2 linked regions of the Mus musculus genome follow. The protein of the gene in region 2 interacts with the protein of the main gene of each other region in a biochemical or structural test. Links are inferred from orthologs where the notes say so. Each region holds a gene or a part of one and is shown on either strand. Other genes may lie near its edges.

The links.
Region 1: the proteins of Mapk3 (region 2) and Ptpn7 form a complex in vitro, tested with the Homo sapiens proteins (3 studies listed by BioGRID, with this or other methods). The link is inferred for Mus musculus from reciprocal best matches to the Homo sapiens genes MAPK3 and PTPN7.

Annotation. Positions count from the first base shown.
Region 1 is NC_000067.6:135,139,067-135,142,875, reverse strand, and holds part of Ptpn7 (tyrosine-protein phosphatase non-receptor type 7), read right to left. Parts: intron 3,753-3,809; coding exon 3,598-3,752; intron 934-3,597; coding exon 820-933; intron 1-819. UniProt on the Homo sapiens protein: Protein phosphatase that acts preferentially on tyrosine-phosphorylated MAPK1. Plays a role in the regulation of T and B-lymphocyte development and signal transduction.
Region 2 is NC_000073.6:126,758,284-126,762,669, reverse strand, and holds the start of Mapk3 (mitogen-activated protein kinase 3), read right to left. Parts: upstream 3,045-4,386; 5' UTR 3,025-3,044; coding exon 2,852-3,024; intron 1,940-2,851; coding exon 1,757-1,939; intron 1-1,756.

The sequences.
Region 1 (3,809 bases), on a different chromosome or scaffold from region 2:
GTCTCATTTCTAAAACACTCAAGAAGTGAACCCATTTCTTCTTCCAGTTGGGGGAGTAGACTTTACCCCTCTCAATTGCCACAGGGCAGTGGTGGTGTACACCTTAAATCTCAGCACTCAGGAGGCAGAGTCAGGCTGTGAGTTTGAGGTCAGATTAGTCTACACAATGAGCTCCAGGATAGCCAGGAATACATAGACTCTGACTCAAAAAAAAAAAAAAAAAAAAAAAAAAAAGGGTGTGTGTATTGGGGGAGTGGCTACAGAATTACCGTAGCAGCTAGTAGCATATACCCCAGAGTCTGAACTGGCTTCTCCATCTTCAAGCCCAGTGAATACCACTATACCCATAGCTACTTTGTATCTAGAACAAGTTGTATCTTTTCTTTAAAAAAAAAAAAAAAAGTCAAGACGCTTGCCCTCTGTAGCCTCATTGGCCTTGAGCTAACTAAGCAGCAAGCGAAGGCTCTGACCTCACATTCCCCACCCTCGCCCCTGCTTTCTGAGTGCTGGGTTTACAAACATGCAGCATCATACTACCCTTTGTTTAACTTGTTCCCTAGCTTTCTCCTGAGTAGAGAATTTGGGGGCCAGGAGAGATTGAGGGAAAATTCAGGGTGACATATTTAATTCCAGGCCCCCACGCTAACATTTCAGACCATCTTTCATGTGGGCTTAGTTATTGGCAAACTAGAAAGTTCTTTTGAATAAAACAAGTTCCTTGCTTTCTTCCAGGAGGACCTGCAGGTGATGTGCACCTCGGAGCCACCAATGTCCTTGTCAATTACTGTGGCCGCCCACACCTGTTTCCCATGGACCCACCTGTCTAGTCGAAGTTGGCACACGATGCCCAGAATATCCACCTCCCCTCGGGCCTTCAGCTGCTGGCAGCCGATGCGGGTGGCGATGAAGCAGCCGGTCCGGCCGATCCCTGCACTGGATGGAACCAGAGAGAGGATGGGGAGGTCACAGGAGACCAGGGAATGGGGGAGACAAGTGAGCATGGAAGGTTGAGGCAAGGCTTCACGTGATGAAAGAAGAAATGGTATTAAAGTGCTCTGTTTGTGGGGTGGGACTTGCACATCTCCGATTCCAGCATCCCTGGGATCCCTGGTGGAGGCAGAAACCAGCTTACGCAGGAGAAGTCTGTAAGCCCTTATTACTCTCACTCTATGCCTAGTCCAGCTCACCATTAATTAATTAATTAATTAATTAATTAATTAATTAATTAATTAATGTTTTTAAAGATAGGATTTCACTATGGCTGTCCTGGAACTCACTATGTAGAGCAAGCTGACCTTGAACTCAGAGATCCACCTGCCTCTTCCTCTCAAGTTCTGGGATTACCCACCCCACCCCACCCCCGATAGAGTTTTACTCTAAAGTCCAGGGAAGCCTGGAACTTACTATCTATCCTAAACTCACTGTAATCTTCCTGCTTCAGCCTCCTGAGTCCTGGTTGTCCAGGACAGTCAGAGTTACAGAAGAGTGCCACCATATCAAGTCTTTTTTTTTTTTTGTTAGTTTGTTTATTTGAGACAGATTCTCTCTCTGTAGCCCTTGCTGGCCCTGGACTTATTGGGTAGACCAGGCTGGCCTCAAATTCACAGCCATCTGCTTGCCTCTGCTCCCAATTGCTGGGATTGAAGCCCAGATTTGTACTTTTTCCAGTTGTTTTTTCTTTCTTTTTCTTTTATATTTTTATTTATTTTAATCTCTCTCTCTCTCTTTCTCTCTGTGTGTGTGTGCGTGTGTGTGTGTGTGTGTGCATGCATGCACACACATCACTGTACCTATGTGAAGCTCCAGTAGAGACCTCTCATGGGTCAGTTCTGTCCTTAAACCATGTAGGGCCCAGAGATTGAACTCAGATGTCAGGCTTGACTGCGGGTGCCTTTACCCATGGAGGCACCGTGGTGACCCCTGATTTTTCTTTTCTTTTTGATAATAGGGTCTAGTCATGTAGCCAGGACTGACCTTTGATTAGCAGTCTTACTGCTTCGGCCTCAAGTGTGCTCTGCCACACCCTAGTCCAGCGCACACGGTGGTGATCACATCTGTTTACAGCACCTGCCTGTGCAATGGCTGTCCCCCAGAGCGTTCCTTCTCTGACCACAGCCTCCTCCCAGCTCCATGTGAGCTTCCACAGATGCTCCAGGGCCCCCATCCCATTATCCTCTTCTCAGCTCCATCACCTTTCTCTCTTCCCACACCCCCTCCCCTTCTTGCCCTTTCTGGCTTTCAGCTCCCCACATAAGTCTTACATGTGCCTTCAGTAGAAGGAGGTGTATACTGGGGTGTGTAGAAGCCACTAGTGACTTCCAGCACTGAAGTGTGTGCGCGCGCGCCCTCTGCATGGGTCCAAGCATGCCCTGTGTGTACTGTTTGCTTCTCCCTCCTCCTCCTCGTCCTCCTCCTCCTCCTCTCTTTCCCTCTCAACAAAACATCATATATCCCAGGCTGGCCTGGAACTCCCTATGTACTTTAGATAGGCTTTCAGCTCCTGGTACTCCCGTCTCTACCTCCCAGGTGCTGGGAATACAGGAATATGCCGCTGTGCCCGGCCCCAGGCATTGCTTTTAAATGGTAGATTTGGGGTGTTGGATTCAGCATCACAAAACCCAAAACAAAATGGCAAATCTAAGTGTCTTAGCCAATCATGCAAGTCCGATTCATGAAGCCCTTAGCTGCCTTCCATACTGTTTTCCATCAGTGTCCCTACATATAAGCACCACTCATAACAAGCTCCACCCACAAGCTCCACCCACACCAAGCCCCACCCACACAAAGCCCCCCAAAGCTCCACCCACAACAAGCTCCACCCACCCACAAGCTTGGGACTCCTCTCTGACCCTCCTGACAGTGTATCTTTTTTGTTTTGTTTTGTTTTGTTTTGTTTTAAAGTTTATTTCCTGAGCATATAAGGTTCTCTGCCTGAACGTTTTCCTTTCCCCCTTTCAGAGGCTTATTCTCTCTCAGGTATTAGGTGACCTTACCCTGTGGCCTCTATACTACTCCATCTAGCTCTCTCTGAATTGTGGTCTGCTTCATTGTTTAATCTGCTACTCTTCTGACTAGTCTATTAACCTGCCCGGGAAGAAACTAAACTGTTTTGTTCACCGTTATCGTCTTAGTATTTAACATTGTGCCTGATGATAGCAATAATAGGTTTCCAATAAGCCCGTTACAGTTCATGCCTGTAATCCCAAACTGAGATTGAGAGGTTGAGAAGCTGAGGCAGGAGGATTGCCATGAGTTTGATGCTAACCTTGGGCACAAAGAGGGATCCTGTCTCAACAACAACAACAAAAAATAAAACAAAAAACCAAACAACACAACAAACCCAGCAAAAAACAAAACCAATCCCAACACTAAAAGACCTAAGCCAACGAAAATGTTATCTGGTGCCTAAACGGGCTCCTCAACAGTGGGGACGGAGTTTATCTCATTTCTACCTCACTAGAAACTTCCCACAAGCCAGAGCTCTGTCTAGGTAAGAGTTGGGTCTGTCTGGTGTGGCGTTGGATGCCTCCACACCAGAGACTTAGTGAGCAGAGAAGGCAAGCATTGGATCTGCGCTGGGACCAGGGAAGTCCCTACCTGCAGTGAACCACTATAGGCCCGGAGTTGGCAGCTGTCTCTGGAGTCTCCACCTCGGCCACCAGGCGCAGCAGGGGCCCCGCTGATTCTGGAGTCTGGTGGTCTGGCCAGGCTGAGAAGAGGATGTGCTTCACTGAACGGCATTCCTGTTGGTGCTGGGGTGTGAGAAACCAGGAGAATAAGGCTCAAGACGTGGGATGTGGGTGTGGGTG
Region 2 (4,386 bases):
CAGAAAATGCTCTCGGAGAAGCAAACAAGAAGTAGTGTTGTTACTCCACGGGCAGAGCCATGCGGCTGTTGAGTGGGTTAAACGAGATAATGCACGAATACCATCTGGCACACAGTAACTGTTTGCTTAAAAATAAATGCCTGCCTTATGGGGATGATTTGTGCCAGAAAGTGAGGAAGACACTCCCCAACAGTGCGCTCCCACAGAGCGCTTGACCATACACCAGAAGGTGGGGAACTAAGAGTCCTTTTATACTTGAAGGTAAAACAAAGATTAAGCAAAAACAAATGGCTTATCTTTGGAAGAATAGTCAGGAGCTGGGTAGAGCACCTCACTCCTATAATCTCAGCACTTGGGAGGCAGGGGCTAGAGGATTGCCTAGAAGTTTAAAGCCAGTCTGGTCTACAAAGTTAGCCTGAGGCCAACCAGGGATACACTGTGAAACTTTCTTAAAAAAAAAAAAAAAAAAACTGAAGTCTGAACTGTCTTCTATAGAAGACATGTAAACTGGGGCTGGTGTCACCCCCAAGGCAAAGGCAGTTGGATCCCTGTGAGCTCAGGGCTAGCCTGATCTACATAGCAAGACCCCTTTCTCAAAAAGAAGAAACGAGGGAATAAGCACCTGCAGATATATACACACAGGGACCAACCCTGCTGCTTTATAAATGTGCAAGTCTAGAGATGCAGAGACCTGCTGAAGGTCATGCAGCAAGACGGGAGTATGTCGATTTCCTGTGGTCAGAGTTGCAGAGGCTGTAGAACAAATCCTGGCATTGGGAGGGGTGGGTAGGGAAAAGGCCATGGGTGCTACCGTCTGCTAACAATGGAGCCAGGCAGGAAGTAGATATGGACAATGAACTGGATGTCTGAACTAGGCAAGTAGTGTCAAGCAAGGGCAACAAGGGCTGGACTAACCTCCCTGGTCAAGGTACAAGTCCACAGGTGATCAGGGTGGGGCTCTCAGAAAGGTGGGAAGGCTCCAGGGAAGCCAACTGGGGGAGAAGAGGAAGCTACTAACAGGAACTGCCGAATTCAGGCAGACTCTCAGGGCCCCTCACCCTTCCTTGAGCCCCCGGCCTAGCCAGGGGCAGGAGTGCAAAGGCTTGGCTCCACCCTGTGACTCTAGGGTCCTCAGGTTCCCCCTCTTAACAATACAATGTGGTTTGAAAGCCTCCACTGCCTCCATGTTGGATTAAGTATCGCCCACTCCCCTTCCCCCTAGAAGGCACTGCAAAACTTAACACAGAGGAGCCTCGGTTTCCTTATCTTTGAAATGGACACAGTAAAACTCATCCGTCACACAGGGAAGCTAGAAGGTTGAATTAGAACCAAAGCACTAGGCCTGCCCAATACCGGTTTTCTTCTTTGCTTTCCATCCAGTGTGAGGTCTCTAAAGAAAGAATCGTGAGTCTGTTGAGCAAGAACAGGCTGTGGGCAGAGACTGGGTCATGTCACAGACCTGCAGATGTCAGAAGACAAAGCTCCCATAGAGATCGTTTTTTCCACAGCATTCTCCCTCCCCACACACCATACTGGGGCACAGAGCAGAAAGGGATGTGTTCAAGGCCACTCCACTTGGCTGCGACAGACCAGGATCCAAGGCCTGCCAGTGTGCTCTCATGCTCTGTAGACTCTCTGCTAAAAAGTTACTTTGCTGGGGTTTTTTTTTTTTGGAGGGTAGTACAAAAGATGACCACAGACAACAGAGCCAAGCTCCCTAGCTTTACTCTGGGGCTGTGGCTAAGGTGAAGGATACACATCTCTCATGGCTTCCAGGGTGGGCGCTCTGAGGATGTCTCGGATGCCTATAACATTCTCATGGCGGAATCGCAGCAAGATCTGGATCTCCCTCAGCGTGCGCTGACAGTAGGTTTGATGCTCAAAGGGGCTGATCTTCTTGATGGCCACTCTGGTCTTGCGCACGTGGTCATAAGCTGAGCTGAGAGGGCCAGAGAGATGTGGCCTTACAAAGGGGGAATCCAGGCCTGTTGGCCCCACCCAGGTCTTGGCAGGGACTGGAGAGAGGAGGAGAGGGTTCTGGCCAAATGTAAACAATGCTGGCTCCTTCCTGCTGTGAAGGCCTGGGATCTCCAGGGGAAAGCTGGGTATCAGCCAGGCAGCCTTTCAGTGACTTCACAAACAGAGGAAGAGAGTGGCCACTCACCGACTTCCTTTCTCCTGGACCCTCTTACATTCTAGTTGCCCTCACCCTCCTCCCCTTTCCCAAGCTGGACTCTCTCAATCCCAGACAGGTCCAGGGGATAGGAGTTAAATGGAGAAAGTAGATGAAGCCTAGAGGATTCAGTAATGGGACAGGAGAGAAGAGATAAGGAGGGGCAGGCAGGTCTCCCTGTGCGGTTCCTGGGTCAGAGCTGCTCCCATAGGAACAAAGGCCCAGAGCAGAGCACACAGTGGGGCAGCGAGAACTCACAAACCCGTATACCACAAAATAAGGCACATTCTAGAGACCCTTCCCTACTTTGGGCCCCTAGCCTTGCCAGGGGCAGAGGTGCAAAGGTTTGCCCCACCCTGAGCTTTGCTCTCCTCTCTCAAACTCTCTGTCACAGCCTCATCAGGGGGGAACCAAGGCTCCCACTACCTGCTCGTGGGTCCCTCACTCCCCCTTCATCCTCTTAGCTCCACCTTTATCTCTAGGGTCCCCCAGGTGCCCCTCCCTTAACAATACAAGGTGGCTTCAAAGCCTCCAACCCCCCTCCCTGGAGAAAGTAGCGCCTAGTCCTCCAGAAGTCACTGCACGATACTTCCCCTGCGACACTCCCTGAGCCCCCCATGTCCCGAGCACACACCTGCTGTCCCTGCTCCGAAGCCCCCTCCCGGGACGCCCCCTCACCTGACCATGCCGTACGCGCCCTCGCCGATGTACTGCAGCTGCGTGTAGCGTGGGCCCACATCGAATGGCTGCCCCTTCACCACCTCCACCTCCCCGGGGACCACCGGGACGACCCCAGCAGTTCCCCTGGGCTCCCCGCCCCCGCCCCCCGGAGCCGCCGCCGCCGCCGCCATCTCCACTCCTCCCGCCTCCCCCCGCTGCCCCGCCCGCGGCCCCGCCCCTCCCTACCGCCCTGTCACCGCGGGGCCGCGCGCCAGGCTCCGCCCCCGCCCCCGCGCGTCCCGCCCCCGCGCCTGCCGGGCGAGCCTGCGCGGGCCCGAGACGTCACATGGTCTCCTGGGCGCGCACCCGGCTTTCCCGCCTAGTTACGCTGTTCCTTCCCTGCCTTGGCCACTAGGGTACTTTAGTCTGCCAAGAGAGTTCTGCAGCCCCAGGGGCCAGTGGCCCTCAGTAATGCTAAGGGAACCCACCCGGCTTACAGTTAACCTTTGAAGACCTGCCTCACATCTTTGTTTCATTTAAACAGATAGTGGTAATCCAGGCTAGCCCCAAAGGCTCTCTATGTGGTGGAGGTTGGCCTTGAACACATCCTCCTGCCTTTAGGCCTGAGCCATCATACAGATTCAGGATGCTACTAGGCAAGCATCCTACCACTGAGCCACATCTCCATCCTTTCTTTTCTCTCTCTCTTTCTTTTTTAAGAGGGTCTCTTGACATGGAACTGGCTGTTCCAGAACTCACTATGTAGACTAGGTAACCAGGCTGGCCTCAACATACTAACTCGCCAGTGCTAGGATTAGTTAGAAGCTGTATGTATCACCATGCCCAGCTTCCATAATTTCTTATTCGTTTATTTGCCACATTTATTAATTTTGTGTGTTGGAGCGTAAGTATGTCACAGAGCCTGTGTGGAGGTCAGAGGACATCTGATTCCTTCCACCATGTGGGTCCCAGGTGTCCAATTCAGGCTGTCAGACTTGGTAGGAGTGGGCCACCCTGAGTTGCTGAGGGAGTATATCTTACGTTTTATAATGAGGAAGCAATCTGGAGGGTGGTGGACGGCAGGCAGCACTGTGAAGCTGTGAAGTCGGTCCTGACTCCAGTGTGAAGACACAGGCCTGCAGGGGGGCTCAGGTGTGTGCTGAGGCCCCAGTGTCGTACAAATCCTCTGCCTGATTGCCCAGAGGACGTGCAACCCAGCTCACTTCACGGGAGAAGGAGGGAAAGGGTGGTAGCTGTGGACAAAGGTAACTAAATCAATTTAAATTCACTGTCACCTTTTCTCTGTCTCTGTCTGTCTCTGTCTTTCTGTCCCCCCCTCCCCCCACGCTGGGCTGGTAAGATGGTTGGGTAGGTAAAGATGCTTGCCAAGCAAGCCCAAAGATCTGAGTTGGATCTCTGGGACCTTCACAATGGAAGTAGAGAATTAGCTCCTGCAGGTTTTCCTCCAACCAACACAAGCATGCTATAGCATGAATGTGGACAGACACATATTCACACACAAAATAAATAAAATAGAATTTAAAAATTACGTG